Linked DNA regions of Caenorhabditis elegans. The protein of the gene in region 4 interacts with the protein of the main gene of each other region in a pairwise test. Each region holds a gene or a part of one and is shown on either strand. Other genes may lie near its edges. The genes, in order: kca-1, T11B7.1, hlh-30 and magu-1.

Region 1 (3,865 bases), on a different chromosome or scaffold from region 4:
GATGTTTCGGATCTTCTCAAAGAACGTTGTAGAACATTTTCACTCGAAGAACTGAAAGAACGAACAAGTCTTCCAGCTGGAATGGACATGAGACGTCTGGAGAGCTACTTGACTGACGACGATTTTATGAAAGTTTTTAAAATTGAAAGAAGCGAATTTTATGCTCAAAAAACTTGGAAACAGAACGATGCACGGAAAAGAGTTGGACTATTCTGAACATATTTTTTATTTATATTGACTCACTAGAGGCGGTGAAACCGTCATTACTGTATTATCACCTTGCCATTTTATCTCCTGTATAGATTGCCTGATAAATAAAAGCGTGTAATGTTTAACTGGATTTCGATTACTACATACTAAACAGATAATATAGCATGAAGAGCAATATCTGAATAGAAAAAAGAAACTTTAAAGTAAATGTAATGCATGATTCAGTGAATAAATATGGAAAAATTGCTATGGAGCATTCGTAAGTGTACAACTTCGGCTTATCCAAATCCATTTTCCGCTTCTTTCTGACCTACAACAGTGACGCCTTCAAAATAAAATTTAAAGTGATAATCGTCTTTATTTTTGACGAGAATAAAATATATTGCAATAAAACTATAGTACATGTGATCACTTGTGAATAATAATATTTGACATGGAATTATAAACTTAAGACGAGCGGGATGGGTGAGTATTTTACAAGTTAATCAATATAAATTTATATTATTTACAGCATGCATTCGTCGAAACTTCCGACATCGGATTCCAAATGCGGCTGCCAATCCGAATCCTCGAAGTCGGCGGATACGTCGTGGTCACTTTCCCGGCTCACACGATCAGTGTCGATTTCCGGGCCATTCGGACATTCGCTGCAGATCTCGTCGATGCTCTTTTTGATGCTCTGGATGCGCTCTCGAAGTTGCCTAGCGAGTCCTTGTTCTGGCCCATTCTGGTTGGCAAGTGCACGCTGAATGGCATTTTCCACACGATCCAATCCCAGAATGGCGCTCCTCGCATCATCAGAAACATTGGCTTGATCTAGGTTGATGGTCGAACTGCTTGGTTCAGATGACATTTCCTCTGACGAATGAACGACATATGTGTTGCAAAGGGGATTCTGAGTTGATTGTTCGGGCTTTCCGTGGTCTTGCTCAGCGTCTTCCGAGTCGACATAGGCCAGCTGGTAGAAATCTCTGTTCAATGATTTGCACAGAATTTCATTAGTTTCCTCTCGACTCTAAAAAAATAAGATTTTAGTTCAATAAAATTATATACTCAAGAAATTTACCTTGTTCAACGTTGTCATAATTACAGCATTATCAAGTAGAATCGATGAAGTGTTGTTGAAGACTGCAGCTGGCACAGCGACTGTGTTGGAGTCACAATATCTCAATGGAACCAAGCTGTACTCGTCGTCACTTCCGTCCTCATTGATTGCAGGATTCTTCGGCGTGCTGGTGTAAAGTGGTGTGAACGGCTGTAAAACAACAAAATTAGCATAAAGTTGTTAAAATAAATATTCTCACCCGTGGCTGACGATCTTCCGGAGTGTTATCCAATTCGAATCGGACTGCTTTCAACACACGAGGAGGGAGTTTGAATCCTTTCGATGGATGTGGAGTGTATTTATGATCCTCAGGAAGCTCATCTTGTGCTGGAGTAGTTCGATGCTTCCAATACGAAATCTCGTCGTCATCCCACCAAAACTCGTCGTTTTTCATTGACGACACAGACTCGCGAGTCTTTTTTTCAACAAACTTCTCCATTCCGTCGACGTCGTTGTTCCGGAAGCACTTCATTATTTCATCGACAGTTTCTTTGTCCTGTTTCTTCTTCAAGTCCTTCTCAGTCTGACGCCATACAAACCAGCTGAATGGCCGGAAGAACGAGACGCCTTGTACGTCAGAAGTGTGTGGAGATGCCATAGAATGCCAGGAGCTCGATAATGAAGTCGATTTCATTGTTCGAAATGATGAATCGGAAGTGCTCTGCCCTGAGCAGTAGGACAGAGCATCTTCTCCGATCATCACTCCGGCGTCTTGTCGAACCATTTGGAATCGAACGGCTGCAAGAGAAAATATAATTGGGAAAAAAGGAAGGAAAAGTGGAAAAAGGAAATTGAATAAATAAATTTTCGAAAAAATTAAGTTTAAGCTTCGAAAATTAATCCTAAAAAAGAGAAAAATGTGATTCAAAAAGGCTAAAAGTGAAATGAGAATACGAAAATACGAAAATACGCGCCTTTCATTGCACAGGTCTCGGCGCGACTTTACCTCCGGAAAATTTGGCACATGCGTCTTTAAAAGAGTACTGTAGTTTCCTTCAATATTTGCGACAATGAAAAATCGATTTAAAATCGAAAATCTTCCCAATTTGTTTTAAAAAATTATAAGAAATTACATGAGCTCAGAACATTTTTCTTTGGTATTTTTTCATTTCTAGTTGAAATCCAGTTAAGTTGCTAAAATTTAATCCCGTATTTTGTTGATTTTCCAGTAATTTATTTCTAGAAATAAATCAAATGTGTTTTAAACTCTGAAATTTCAACAGAAAAAACAAATAATCATGCGAGTATTCGAAGAATCGCATAAACTCCGAAACTTTAATTTTTTTAAGTTCATTGCCCGAGAGGAGAACACGGCCGAGAATCTGAAAAATCATTTGCACGCGGAATTCAAATTAGATCCTCAGGAAGCTCATCTTGTGCTGGAGTAGTTCGATGCTTCCAATACGAAATCTCGTCGTCATCCCACCAAAACTCGTCGTTTTTCATTGACGACACAGACTCGCGAGTCTTTTTTTCAACAAACTTCTCCATTCCGTCGACGTCGTTGTTCCGGAAGCACTTCATTATTTCATCGACAGTTTCTTTGTCCTGTTTCTTCTTCAAGTCCTTCTCAGTCTGACGCCATACAAACCAGCTGAATGGCCGGAAGAACGAGACGCCTTGTACGTCAGAAGTGTGTGGAGATGCCATAGAATGCCAGGAGCTCGATAATGAAGTCGATTTCATTGTTCGAAATGATGAATCGGAAGTGCTCTGCCCTGAGCAGTAGGACAGAGCATCTTCTCCGATCATCACTCCGGCGTCTTGTCGAACCATTTGGAATCGAACGGCTGCAAGAGAAAATATAATTGGGAAAAAAGGAAGGAAAAGTGGAAAAAGGAAATTGAATAAATAAATTTTCGAAAAAATTAAGTTTAAGCTTCGAAAATTAATCCTAAAAAAGAGAAAAATGTGATTCAAAAAGGCTAAAAGTGAAATGAGAATACGAAAATACGAAAATACGCGCCTTTCATTGCACAGGTCTCGGCGCGACTTTACCTCCGGAAAATTTGGCACATGCGTCTTTAAAAGAGTACTGTAGTTTCCTTCAATATTTGCGACAATGAAAAATCGATTTAAAATCGAAAATCTTCCCAATTTGTTTTAAAAAATTATAAGAAATTACATGAGCTCAGAACATTTTTCTTTGGTATTTTTTCATTTCTAGTTGAAATCCAGTTAAGTTGCTAAAATTTAATCCCGTATTTTGTTGATTTTCCAGTAATTTATTTCTAGAAATAAATCAAATGTGTTTTAAACTCTGAAATTTCAACAGAAAAAACAAATAATCATGCGAGTATTCGAAGAATCGCATAAACTCCGAAACTTTAATTTTTTTAAGTTCATTGCCCGAGAGGAGAACACGGCCGAGAATCTGAAAAATCATTTGCACGCGGAATTCAAATTAGATCGAGGAAAAGAGTAGTATTTGGAACTTTGTACATCATAACATCTTTCTGGGAGACTTTTGTGATGTTTCCCTTATGCACATTGCCTTGTTAGATCATATAAAAAGCTTTTGAGCAGAGTCTCAAATATTACTACATCACC
Region 2 (4,190 bases), on a different chromosome or scaffold from region 4:
GACCGGAGAGATCCTATGTGACTCACAATCAAGCTATCCGATGTTACAAAAATCAAATTGCTTTCAAAGATCTAATGAACAGAAATGTAAACTTTGGCTTGTCAAAAGTCAAAAATTTAGGGCATGTTCATCATCTTCCAGCGCCTTCGGTCAACCTAACAACATTTATGATTGTCTAAAAAATCGATAGCATGGAAAAATGACACCCTCGAGGAACATAAATAAGATAATTGTATCATTAGACGCAGAATAATCTCAAAATGATCCAGACTTTACGAACAGAATAAGAAATCTGATATACCCATCGTCTCAACAATCTTCTATCCATTCCAAGCCATGACAAATTTGAAGCGGCAACAGTGAAAAGTGGCCCACCGCTGGCTAATACGTACGGTTTTATAGCGGGCAAACTGAAGGCCGTCTTAGGTCCATTACCGGCTGTTGGACCGTCATTTGTCCACAGGTTGAGAAAGACTTTCAACCTGTTCGGGCTCGTCCGCAGCTGTTATAATTGTGACATTTTTTATACATAAGTTTGTCTTTGGTTCTTGGAAGGACTTATTGGAAGATTTTATTTCAGAAACAAGAACAGTTGGAACAGTGTAAAGTTAATCAGAATAATCAAGAAAATTTGAAAACAAAGAGAAAGTCGGATAAATGGGAAATCATGATATATCGTAGAGCGAATAACAAGAAAATCGTTGATTTGTGAATAGTTAAAATTTTTTAAAATATTAGTCATTGTAAGAAGGTACATTTAATTTCAATGAAATCTCAATTTTCTGATTCGATGCTATTCCTCTGACGAGCTGTCACCATCTGGTAAATCATCAGAAGCGCTGCTTTCAGAACTTTCATCTGATGAGCCTTCTTCCTCTTGAACTTCTTTTAAAGCTTCTAATTCTTTGAACGCATTCTTCAAATTTCCTCGAGAATTTCTGAGACGTTTTCCAAAATTTCTGACAGTCTTCGCCAAATCCTCAGAAATTTCGTTTTTCGGAATGAAATTCTTTTTCAATTCCATCATCTGCTCGTATTGATGTTCAAGCTTTAATTCTAGAGCATCCTTATCTTCAAGAGCATTTTCGTATGACCAACCAAGATTAGCGATTCTGTAATAATTTTTATGTGTTTTTAAGATCAACAAAATATAAATGTTTCGTCAAAACTTACCTTTTTTTCTGATCGTTAATTTGTCTTTGGAACCACTGAATCTCTTGATCTTTCTTATCGTGCACTTCAAGACTTTCCAAAATCAAACGACACTCCTCTTTATGCAACTGCAGCATCTTACATTCTGGTTCAAGTTTTTGATCGTCTGAAAACTTTTGAAGAATTTCAATAAGTCCCTGCAATGTTGGAGTTGGTGAACGATTCTCTGTTTTGTTTCCAGCTGTGAGCTCTCCAATTTTCGCTGTTTGATTATCAAGATAGTTTTTCAATGTATCGTTTTTTCTGAGCAGTTTCTTGTTTTCTTGAGCAGCCCTGAGCAGTCTGGAAAAAGTAATTACGAAACATAAAATGTTTGTTCTTACACTGCCAAACAGATTACTATATCTCGATGGCAGTGCATGTTATGTTTTCGGTCGACTATACAGATAAACATAGTTACCTTGATTCATAGAGCTCTTGTGTCTTCTTTATATCCATTTTAAGAATTTCAATTTCCTTAGCTTTTTTCGAATTCATTTCAAAATTTCCAACAGCTGACTGTAGTCCTTCACAAGTTAACTGAATATTTTTCAGTTTCTGATCAATACTTAGTTCTTCTTTGAATTGTTTCAACTGTTCGGTGAGCTCATCCAATGTTAGAGGATTCACATTTTTTGAATTCTCGTGATTTTGAATACTTTTCAAGTTTTGAAGTTTTTTGAATTTTTCAATTTGAACTTCAAAATCATTTTGCAAGTCAGCATAGTTGTCTTGCAAATTGGAACATTCATTCTCGAGTGTATAGATTTTTACAGAAAGTGCCTGTCTCATATCATCATACTTAAGCTTCTGACGGCTGAGTGTTGAATCTAACTTCTGGATTCTGAAACAAGTTTAATCTTACAAAAATTACGAAAAAACAGTATACTTACGTTTCCAAATGTTCATCCTGTTTTTCATTGAACTTTTTTTCCAAATCCTTGTAGTTTTTATCTTTTAATTGAATACTTTCAAGCTGTTCTTTAATCATTTGCAAATGAGGAATGGAAAAATTAATAGTTTTACTTTGTTTCTCAACTTGGACATAGCTTATGGTATCATGAAGAATATCAATTATTCCTTGAACTGTAGGCTTAGACGCTGAAATTTAATATACATTCACGAGGAAAAGTATTCAGAGGACTGCGTGACTATCGATGTTTCAGATTTTCAGACGGGATACATAAAACGCAAGTAGAAAAACCCGCATGACGTCACACTTTTTCTTTCATTCTCCGTAATTTTCCAGGAACAAATTGCGAATGGAACCTATCATACACGCGTGCGCGAGGCGATGTGACAGCTTCGATTAATTATACAAAAAAAAACGTCAGAAATAATATCATTCCTGTTATGAAACACTGTGATTTCAAAAATGTTTACCTTCCAATTGTCTTGTTTGCGGTGCTTGACTTTCTCCTTTTGAAACACTTGGTTTGATTCCTGACATTACTCTCTGAAAATCCAAAATCCTTGCACTAAAACAGATTTAAAAAAAAGAAGTTAAATGAAACCGTATTCATATCTTATAATATCATAACTACAATCATTTCCATACAATTCGTGCATTATAAACAAGAAAACAAATGAAAACCCTTCAAAAAACTCGATTAGCTACCGATATCAAGGCACTTTGGATGTAAAAAATAATAAATTAATCAGTCATCTCTTGACGATGACGTATGGGCAAGTCATCTGGATGAAAACTATAAAACAGAACGCTCATGTATATTATCGACTCGAAAAGAAGGTTTCCAAAAATTATCGATTCAATTTAGGTTTAGCAGATCTACGAATATACATTAAAAAATACTTGAGGAAAAGTTACTTAATTAGGGATCCTACAGAACTGACAGACCTAGAATAAAAGTAAAAAAGATTAAAAACGAGAAGAGGGAGGGAGAAAACACCGAATGCAAATGAATGGTATGTTGGAGATTTGTAGTGTTGGAAGAAACAGTGAACCACACTCTCCACGGGCAACGTACAGGGGTCATCTCATCTATTTGTTACGACGTCGAAGAGGCTCGCCACTCTGTAAGTAATATTGATTACTTGGTTTTGTGTATCGCATCCGATATCGGCCGAATGTACAATGAGATTTTTTTTCGAAATACCACTATTTTAGATGTCGCCATAAAAAATGTTTGAAGGTAACATAGATAACATTTTCAGAAGAATTTAAGTTTGAAAACGTGATCAATTAGGTTTTGGGCATCTGGAAATCATATGAAAAGCTAAATTTATACCTGTCGTACGACGACATCAAACGCTGATCCAGTTGATTGTAGTGGTACTGCCACGGATTCTGGCACAAACGAAGACGCGGTTGAGATTCGTGACGACGTTGACATTCTGGATGATGGGCGGGATGAGAGAGCTGGTACATTCGATGACATTGGCACTCGTGGAGAAGTTCGACGAGCCGCCGCTGAGAAGGTTTTTAGTTTCAAGTGAAGTTCTTCAATTGTCTTGGTCTGCTCGGCAATTTGATGACGATACTCCGCGATAAGACCTTCACGATCAGAAATCGTCAGATTTTGAACTCGCATATCCTGTTGAGCATTTGCAAGTTGTTGTCTGAAATAATATTAATATAAATCTATATTTAATTTTCTGATTGTGTGTTACTTTATTTTTTCGATTTTCACATGTCCGGAACATGCTATCAAATACTTTAGTTTAAAATAAAATTTCGTTCTATACACCAATTCATTTAAACGTTAAAAAGATTTAACTCACCTCAGCTTGACTAGCTCGACGTTTGATGTCTTCTGCTGTTGATCTTCTTCAGCAGGATTCTGAAGTTGTGCTTCCAGTTCTGCAATTTTTGCTGTCAGAACTTCGCATTTCTCACGATACTTGTCCATTTGAACGGCGAACTCGTCAGCGTGATCCAATAATCGAGCTTCCGAATCCTTAAGCAATCCATTCTGCTCCGAAACAATGCGAAGTTCTTCTTTTAACTGTTCCAACTCTTCCAGAGACTTCAGATCAGC
Region 3 (4,726 bases), on a different chromosome or scaffold from region 4:
GGGAGCCAAGCCTATAGATCTAAGCCTAGGGTCTTAAGTTTCGGACTCTAAATCTGAAATTCAAACTTACGAGAAATTGAGCAAAAAGTGTTGTCAATTTAAACCCTTTTTCAATTTAATCATCAATATTTGCCCCGACCTCTGGAAATATCACAATACCACCAATCCGGCGCCCCAACTCCTCCTTTATTTCTCAGTTAGCCCCCCCCCCCCTACTGTTTGCCGAGTAACAATTCTCTGCGTCTTGCAAATTCCCAAAACTTCATTGTACATACACATATCACTATCATAATCATCACACACTAATTATGAAAGAGAATAGGCGCCGCGCTTATCAGTTGGCGGCGGGAGGCCGAATTCTCCTTCGTCGCCTAAAAAGAGAGGGTTTTGTCGAATAGTTTTGTTTTATTTTCGTATTTTCTTTGCGTTGGTTGGAATTTAAAACAAACTTTTGATGGCGTCATTGTTGCTTTGGATCATTTCTTTGTCATGTTTTTGTGATGATAACCTGTGTTTGGGTTGAAAAAAAATCGACTTTTCCAGGTTTTTGTTGACTTAGAGACTTTGTGAGGTCTCACTTTTTGAAATTGATAGAGTGCCACTTCCAGACCCCCTAAAACTTCCAGCAAAGCCGCTGGGTAAAAATTCTACTCGGATCATAGAACGATAACATTTTCTTCAAGTTGTCTTTTTTGATCCATCCGTTTTCGCCATTTTTTTGTTTCTGAACCTCGGAAGCTTAAAAAATTCTAATTTTCCTGAAAACCCTGTTTCGAACGACCTAAGTAAGCTTCAAATGTCAGAAGTCCCTAGGTGCAGCTCCAGAAGGCTTAGGTTCTTAGGCTTAGCTTCCTAATTGTTCGCCCTCAAGGTAGGAATTTTTGGAATATTTTGTTCAGGACATCTAATAACACTTTTTGATTTTATTTAGATCACCTTAGATTGCATACTGCTCCATTGCCCGAACCTAGAAAAAAATCCTTGTCCGAACAAAGGCCTTAAATTGTTAAGCTAGCTTTATCTTTTGAATTTCTCAGATTTTTCAAAACCGAATTTTGATCTCCCTCATCTTTTAATCTTCTTCTAATCAAATCAAGCCCATCAAACTGTTCAAAAAAAAAGATCTCTGGCCACCTCCTCCGAATACAGTTTGTTGTGTTCTTCTTATTTTTCTCGACCTAATCTCTGATGTCTTAACTATATGGACCGTTACTATCTTGTAATTAGGATGGGGCCAATGATTTTGTTTAGGAGTTTAGTATTCTAGGATTCCAGCTACGCAGACAGCTAGCCACCCCCAACTGCCCTTAAGTAGCCTAATCGCCATTGTCTCGACAAGAACTTGGCAGGAGGTGGGGGACACAGTAATAAACGAAATGATCGGTGGTGGAGGCTGTGAGAGAAAGAGATAGGGGCGGGCGCGTGTGCGCCCGTGTGCCCCATCTCTCGCGCCTCTCGCTCGATCCTTTGGGGAGGGGCTGCTGTTGCTGGCGACGACCTCTTGATATGTCACATTGTGTCTGCCGCTCTCTCGCCTCGTCCTCTCGTATCACCTCGGTCTCCCGCGACCCCTTTGGGCGCCTCTCTCCCGACCCTTCCACTCGGTTTCTTCTCTTGTCTTTCGCTCTTTTCCCTCTCCCCCTTTCGAATTTTTTTCCTTTTTTTCTACCAACCAATATACCTTTTTATCGATTGATTTTTTTTTAATTCTCAGATCCCGATACTGAAAAAAAAAATCAGCGAATAAGAGCATTCATGATCCGCCAACTAAATTCACCAGGCGGTGGCGGCGGCCTCGGATTGAACAATCCGAGAGCCCAGCAGCCACCGGGTGCTCAACAGCAGCAGCAACCACAACAAGCCCAGCAACAGTTCTACGATGACGAGCCATATCAGGCTAACGCGTCGCAGTTTCGATTTGGCGCCGGCAAAAGTGTAAGGGCTAATAATTTTCTAGGTTCAGGTTTAGGCCAACGACATTTGGTCTTTACACCCTTCAAATAGCCCCGTTTCTTATCAGCTCTCTTTCCCCCCGCTTTTAGTTTCCTGCTCCGGGCACCCAACTTCCTTCCGGGACACTTGAGTAGCCTAACTCACCAGAACTTTGTCTTGAAATTCGCTCAAGATAAGACCCCCATCTGACGATTGATTGACCGGTCATGTGTGGTGACAATACACAAAAAGAGAAAAGAAACAAGAGAGCGAATGAGACTTGATTGTTTTGTAGTTTGTGGTTTCGGCGGTCCGTTTGGGCTTGACACAGGCTTCTAGTTTCAGTCCTATCAACGTTCTTTGAGCTGATATCAGTTTTGACCTACTTTATCAATTTACCAATCGCATTACCATTTTCATTGCGAGCCAAAACTCGCATTAAAAATTTACAAACCTCGCTTAAAATTGTACTTTGCTCTCTTCGCCCATTTTCTAAGCTTGATCCGATTTCAATTTCAAATCACAAATCGAATTTCAAACTCAGTTTTCTCATCTCTCGACGCCAATTGTCATCACTTTGGGGCCGGCGAGGCGGTGGCGACAGGGGCAGCTAATTTATCAAGTAACAGGGCTGCTCAGTTTTCTGATCGGCTTTGATTTCCCTATCTCCCAAATTAGAGAGATATAGACACAATGTTTTTGGCACACTGCCAACTTCCCGCCCGCCGCCGCCGCCAATATAGTAGTAGTAAACAAAGCAGAGCGCTCATGGTGCATCAACGACCGAAATTTAGTAGTTATCTTTCCATAATGATTTCTATCTCTTTTCTTATTTTGTATTTTGAGATGGAACAACGTCGAGAGACGGGAAATCTGATTCCAATCGCACAACGATCGATGGGCTCGACGTCGACACCGTTCGGCTCAGCGCCTACACAGAGCTACTTTGGCGGAGGGAGCAGTGGAGCGGCATTAAGTAGTCCAAGGAAGATGCAGCAGACGCATCAGATGTTGTTCGGCAATATTCAACCGGTTAGTTTCAAATTTTATTAAAAGAAAATTTTTGTTTTCTTACATTGTTTGAGCTCAAAGTCTCTACAGAAATAAAACAAAAAACGAAACAAAATACTGCATTCTAACATAATTTTTAACGATTTTATGGAAAGTTTAAAGGTAGTTTACAAGTTTTTTTTACCCAGCTCAATTAATAGTAAGAAAAAAAGCAGAATTTTTGGAATTTTTTTCTTATGAAAAAAAGTGGGCCTGAAAGGGCTCCCCGGTAACTAAATTGTTTTGTGGTTCTTTTTTTTTAATCTGTGTAAAAGTACCTTTTTCAAGAGTTGGGGTTTCTTGGCTCAAAATAAGCTTAAACCCTGCTCTTCTTCGCTTAAAGGCGTAGGCACACAATTAAATTGCTCGACATTATAGATCTTCAAACTTTACGTAAAAATTTCTTCCAACTTGCTCCCCTGAAACTGATATCTTTTCATTTTTCTTGTAGATCTCCCTTTTTTGGCATCTGTTGTTAGCCTAACGTCGTAGGGTCAAATTATAGAAGTTTGAATTTTTACAAAAAAATTGTTCTTGATTGGCTTTAACAATATGACCCCCCCCCCTGAGCCATGTATTTGTTTTCAAGCACTTTTGCGCCACGGCGCCCATTCCATATTTTTCCTTCCACATTCTGCGGTCTCTCCCACTCCCAGATGACTCCACCCTAGACGGAACAGCTGAAAAACGAAAAACGGGCGCTGAAAAAATCTTGCGTTTGGCACGTAGCCCCCCCCCCCCCCGGGTCTCTGTCTGCCTCTTGGACAGTGTCACGTGGTGTTCGGCTAGCTTCTCTCGGCGTCCGGTTGTTTTTACACTCTCCGATGGTCTCTGACGTGTGGTAGTGGTGGTGGATAGGACTGAGAAGACAATGAGATGTTTGAGTTGAACTTTCAAGTTGATTGGTTGGGTAGGGAGGGGGCTGTATGTGGACTAAAAGGTCGAATAGGACCCTAGCTATCAACAGCGCATCAAATAAAATTTGACTTTATGATACGAGTCTGTACCATTTGACTAGCTCATTACAAAAACCCACGAAGCTAACTCCAAGTTCCCGGTATTTCGTTTGAAACTTTTTTGCCAAACTTCGATGCTCGTAGAATTTATCCAAAACCAAATTTTCTGAGATTATTAATTTTTCAATGTTTAGGCCAAGCTTTTTGAAACTTTTTCTGAAAAAAGCAGAGTTTTTTTTTCGATTATTTCGAAATCCGTCGAATTTTTCATAATCGGATTTTCCCAGATTTATAACGCATTCTCAAAGCTTTTTGGAAATTTTTAGGACTTTTTCTCCCCATTTTGTCAGTGCATTTTCGCTAGTTTCAAGTCCCGTAGAATTTCTCCAAAACCAAATTTTGAGAGATTTTCAATGTTTTAAAGCATGAGGAAAACTAGGCAAATATTCTGGAAGCTTTTTGGAAAAAAAAACATCTTACAAAAAAAAATTGAAATTTCTCGGAACCTGGGATCTTTTTTTTTTCACAATCAGTACATTTTCCCCCTAATTTTGAAACCTGTAGAATTCAGGGAAAATCTGATTTTCATAGAATTCTAATGTATTTAAGAACGTTGAGAACTTAACTTTTTTCTAGAAATTTTTTCGACCATTAGAGTTTGTTTCCCAGGAATTCGAAACTTGTACAAATTTCGTTATCACTCTTTATTTGAACTATTTTTCTAAAATTGTGAAGTCCTAATTATTAGTGTTGTACGTTTGAATCCGGATTCGTTTTCGCATTGAGAC
Region 4 (4,680 bases):
AAAAAAACTACACTTTTTAAAGAAAATTCTGAAAAAAAGTGCAAAAGTGGAATTTTCTGGATTTCCAAAATTCCAATTATCTGGATAAAAACCACGTGTAATTGGTTTTTTTTTAAATGAAAAAATTTCTCTTTTTTTTACCTAAAAAGTAACGAAAAATCCATTTTTCTGTTCAAAAACTCGCAAAAAATTGATTTTTTACTTAAATTTCACTGAAAATTCCCATTTTTAACCTAAAAAATCCCAAAAAAATCGATTTTTCGCGCTAAAAACCCCACAATTTTCAGTCGTGAACGTTAAAAATCGCCATTTTAGCTAAATTTCCACTGAAAATTCTCTTATTTTTTACCTAAAAATTAACGAAAAATCCATTTTTATGTTCAAAAACTCGCAAAAAATAGATTTTTTACTCAAATTCCACTTTTTTTTTCGATTTTTTGAATTTTTAAGGATCCGATTGGACTTTAGTGTTGCCAATATTTTATAGCGTTTAAATTGAAAAAAAAACTACGCTTTTTAAAGAAAATTCTGAAAAAAAGTGCAAAAGTGGAATTTTCTGGATCTCCAAAATTCCAATTATCTGGATAAAAACCACGTGGAATTAGATTTTTTTAAAATTAAATTTTCTCATTTTTCTGAAGTCATAAGTCACTTTTAAACCCTTTTTCCAAAATTATACCTCTAAAAATGACTGAAAATCATCTGAAGTATCTATTCCATTTTCTGGAATTTCCGATTGACACTGTAGCCATTCCGACGGTACGAGACCCACTTTTTCTGAAAAAATCATTATTTTTGGAATTTCAGAGCGCAATTTTCTCACTGGAATCATCTCGATTCTCGTCATCATGACTCTCTTTCCGCCTCGCCAGTGCTCCGAATCCGATTTTTCGAGTTTGCCACCAATATTGGTCCTTTTCGTCGAGGATCTCTAGAATATCACCGCCGCGGAAGGAAATTGCAGCTTCTGGGCAGGGATGACGTTTGTCCTGCCATGGATCGTAGTCGAACTGAAAACTAGGAAGAATTCTAGGCTATTTTTACGGAATTTCTACTTGGAAATTGAAAAATTTGCGAATTTTGGACTAAAATTCTGAGAAAAACTAGAAAAAACCACTTACCAAAGCTCGGGCATACCGATGTGACGACTTTTTCTGCTTTAACTTCTGGTTTATTTCTGCAGGGATCAGCTTGAAGGTTATCTGAAAAATAATATTGGAAATTTGAGAAAAAACGTGTATTTTTATAGATTTTCTTAAAAACTTTTTTAGTTCAGGCTAAAAGTTACAAATTACTGAGAAAATGCAAATTTTTTCTGATATTTCAGGTTTTTTTTTTAAATTATAATAAATCCATCTTCAATGTTTTTTAACAAATACAGAATTTTTTAGCAATTTTCAGGTATACAAGACGATACGAATATGTGATTTTTTACAAATTTTCTCTGATTTTCGTGATAAACTGCTAGGAAATTGTTGTTTTTTCGAATTTTTTAAAACAAAATCACTAACAATTCCATTATCACATTTATCCAGCAGCTTCACGATTTCCCTGGGCTCCTTATCCGCTACAGTAATCCCATTGACCTCCAATACTCGATCGCCTTCCTGAATACATCCACTACGGTCTGCCACACCGTTCGCCATTATTCGTGCCACGTATACTTTGCCACGTTCGCATTTTATTGTTGCACCGAGGGGTTCGCCACGTCGCACTATTCGCACCTGGAAAATTGAAACAAAAAATTAGAAAAATGAAATGGAATATAAAATTTTTGGGTCTGTTAAATATTTAGCAGACCAAAGTTGGGTATGCTAAATATTTAGCAGACCCAAACCAATATTTAGCAGACCAAAGTTGGGTATGCTAAATATTTAGCAGACCAATGCCAATATTTAGCAGACCCAAGTTAGGTATGCTAAATATTTAGCAGACCCAAGTTGGGTATGCTAAATATTTAGCAGACCAAAGTTGGGTCTGCTAAATATTTAGCAGACCATTGCCAATATTTAGCAGACCCAAGTTAGGTATGCTAAATATTTAGCAGACCAATGCCCATATTTAGCAGACCCAAGTTAGGTATGCTAAATATTTAGCAGACCAAAGTTGGGTCTGCTAAATATTTAGCAGACCAAAGTTGGGTCTGCTAAATATTTAGCAGACCAAAGTTGGGTGTGCTAAATATTTAGCAGACCCAAGCCAATTTTAGCAGACCAATAGAATTTTATAAAAGTGGAAATTTGAAAAAATTGTCAATTTTACTAGCCAATTTTTCCAAAATTTTGAAAATTTCAATAGAATTTCCGAACAAAAACCGTCGATCCTCACAATTTTCACAGCGACCCCATCATCCTCGTCAACTTCGAACGGAACGTCTGGAAGCTGCGGAGCAAACCGCCCGGCTGAAATTTCCTGCGCCGCCCATAATACTCCCTGTACACGTGGCAAATTTAGGAGCTCAACGAGTTGCTGAACCGACGAAGATTTGATATTTGAAATGTCCCAGTCGTCGAGAACGTTCTGTGATAGTTCTTGAAATGAGATCTCTTGTTTCTGGTCGTTTGTTGAGAAATTCCGCAGAATTGATACGGCTTTTTGTTGCTTTTTCGTTAAACTTGTTCGTGGAGGCCTTTCGTCGTCTGGAATTTCAGTAAATTGGTGTTTATTGCCACTTTTTTTTTCAAAAGTAGCTAAAATTTGCTTAAAAACCATAAAAAACTTGATTTTTTTAAGATTAAAAATGTTTAAACTAGCTTATTTATCTACTTAAAATTCTAAAAACCGTATTTTCAAAAAAAAAGTTATATTTGGGTCTGCGAAATATTTAGCAGACCAAAATTCCTTTAATTTTCGCCGAAATTGTATTATTCTTCCGCCAAGAATCTCTTTTATCTGCTCAATGTCTTGCAATTTCTCGATTTTCAAACACGTACTCTCATTAGATGTCCCCGCTGCTACTTCCTCTGCATAATCCAGTATTGTTCCAAATATTGCCGATAAATTGTCGGGCATTTGAGATCTGGAATTCGGTTTTTTCTTCAAATTTCTTCAAATTTCAGCACTAATTCGTAAAAATACACGAAATTTCTGTCAAAAAATCAATTGAAAGCGAAAAAATGAGCACTTTAGTGTAAAACAAAGGGGGAACCTTTTAATTTAGAGGGGCTCGGTTAAACAAGGCGTGCGGCGGAGTGTCGTTGCAAGGAAATTTGAATTTAAATTTTATTTTTTCAGGTTTGATAAAACGTATTTAAATTAAAATTTATGACATTTTTTTATTGTAATCGTTAATTTTTCGAGTTTAAATCAATTTTTGGCGAAGTTTAGTTCATAAATATCGACTTTCCTTCGATATTTCACAATTTTTTCGATTTTCTTCGAATTTTTCAATCATTCTTTTCTGATTTTGGAATCGAATTCCAGAAATTTTCGAAAATTAACTAAAAATTGATAACAAAACAAAATAACTGAAAGTTGTCCACGAGGAGTCCACAGAATACTTTCGTGGCGGGACCCGGCAGCGCGAAAACCTAGATTTCGAATTTTCATGTGAATTTTCACGTTTTTTCTCTGAATTTCGGTTGAATTTCTCCCCATCTTCTAATTTTCCAACAAATATTTCTGAATTTTCAGCAAAAATTCGGCGCAGATGCGCTTACTGACCCTCGCACTACTCGTCGCGGGTAGCTTGGCCTATAAATTCGAGGATTGTGAGCAAAAACCGGCAGGTAAGACTTTTTTAAAGTTTCAAAATTAAAAAAAAAATAATTTTCAGCTCTAAACCAGGTCCTTCGTGTCGGCGCCAAGCTTTACTCGTACAATCTCGACTTTTTCTATCAGAAAGCACTACCTTACAACGCGATATACGCGTTTACCGATGTTTTTTTGCAGACTAATCTGACAAATGCGGATCAATATCAGTTTTATCAGGTAGGTTCTCGGGAAATGCTTGCGAAAATATAAAATGGAGTTGTTTCAGGGTACAAACTGCACAACTGTTCAACAGCTTTACGATAATGACAATCGTTATTTCGGAATTTTACGGAAAGCCGCACTTTTGAGGTTTGGACCGCGAAAAAGACACAGATTTTATGATAAATCAGCAAAAATTTGTTGGATTTCGCTGATAAATAGAAATGTGCAACAGAGAAACGTGGAAATTTTGGTCTGCTAAATATTTAGCACACCAAAGTTGGGTATGCTAAATATTTAGCAGACCCAAAGTTAGAAGAAAGCCAATAATTCCGAATTTTCCGTCTAATTTTAATTAAAATTCGATTAAACTTTTGCGTTTCTGCTAGGATTTTAGTAAATTCATCGAAGATTTTGCAGAAAGTCACGGATTTTCGGGTATCCCAACTCTAGCTGTAAAATATTCTGAAAAATCCAACAATTAAACTAAATTTTGCAGATCTCATCAGTTAAATCCGTTCAATGACACAATCGTCGGCGTCTCCACAACTGAACCATACGAAATATCGGTTTTAATTTGGAGTTAGTATTAAATTGAATTTATTTTTAAAAAATCGTTAAACAAATTCTTCCAGAAGTCAACTATTTCCGTGTTGGTGTCTACGTCGGAGCAATCGTGCTATTTTTGCTCGCCAGCAAGCTCGTTAGAAATGTCGTCTTCTACTACACCAGTGGATGTTCTTTCGGATTGCTCGCTTCACTGCTCTT

The links.
Region 1: the proteins of magu-1 (region 4) and kca-1 interact in a two-hybrid assay, tested with the Caenorhabditis elegans proteins (one large-scale study listed by BioGRID).
Region 2: the proteins of magu-1 (region 4) and T11B7.1 interact in a two-hybrid assay, tested with the Caenorhabditis elegans proteins (one large-scale study listed by BioGRID).
Region 3: the proteins of magu-1 (region 4) and hlh-30 interact in a two-hybrid assay, tested with the Caenorhabditis elegans proteins (one large-scale study listed by BioGRID).

Annotation. Positions count from the first base shown.
Region 1 is NC_003279.8:4,759,269-4,763,133, forward strand, and holds kca-1 (Kinesin Cargo Adaptor), read right to left. Parts: upstream 2,054-3,865; 5' UTR 2,040-2,053; coding exon 1,515-2,039; intron 1,466-1,514; coding exon 1,277-1,465; intron 1,226-1,276; coding exon 716-1,225; 3' UTR 552-715; downstream 1-551. Other genes in the region: viln-1 (HP domain-containing protein), read left to right, coding at 1-216.
Region 2 is NC_003282.8:8,839,176-8,843,365, reverse strand, and holds T11B7.1 (Centrosomal protein of 162 kDa), read right to left. Parts: upstream 2,650-4,190; 5' UTR 2,642-2,649; coding exon 2,575-2,641; intron 2,293-2,574; coding exon 2,085-2,292; intron 2,036-2,084; coding exon 1,613-2,035; intron 1,495-1,612; coding exon 1,174-1,494; intron 1,113-1,173; coding exon 794-1,112; 3' UTR 561-793; downstream 1-560. Other genes in the region: T28C6.11 (uncharacterized protein), read left to right, coding at 3,105-3,228, 3,483-3,703; T28C6.7 (Kinesin motor domain-containing protein), read right to left, coding at 3,194-3,226, 3,441-3,771, 3,934-4,190.
Region 3 is NC_003282.8:4,025,116-4,029,841, reverse strand, and holds the start of hlh-30 (Helix-loop-helix protein 30), read left to right. Parts: upstream 1-1,714; 5' UTR 1,715-1,755; coding exon 1,756-1,935; intron 1,936-2,030; exon of another isoform or gene 2,031-2,114; intron 2,115-2,778; coding exon 2,779-2,964; intron 2,965-4,726.
Region 4 is NC_003281.10:468,684-473,363, forward strand, and holds the start of magu-1 (MAGUK family), read right to left. Parts: upstream 3,020-4,680; 5' UTR 3,013-3,019; coding exon 2,934-3,012; intron 2,640-2,933; coding exon 2,329-2,639; intron 1,725-2,328; coding exon 1,512-1,724; intron 1,203-1,511; coding exon 1,122-1,202; intron 1,011-1,121; coding exon 824-1,010; intron 778-823; coding exon 680-777; intron 1-679. Other genes in the region: nemp-1 (Nuclear envelope integral membrane protein), read left to right, coding at 3,650-3,728, 3,776-3,930, 3,980-4,062, 4,412-4,494, 4,548-4,680.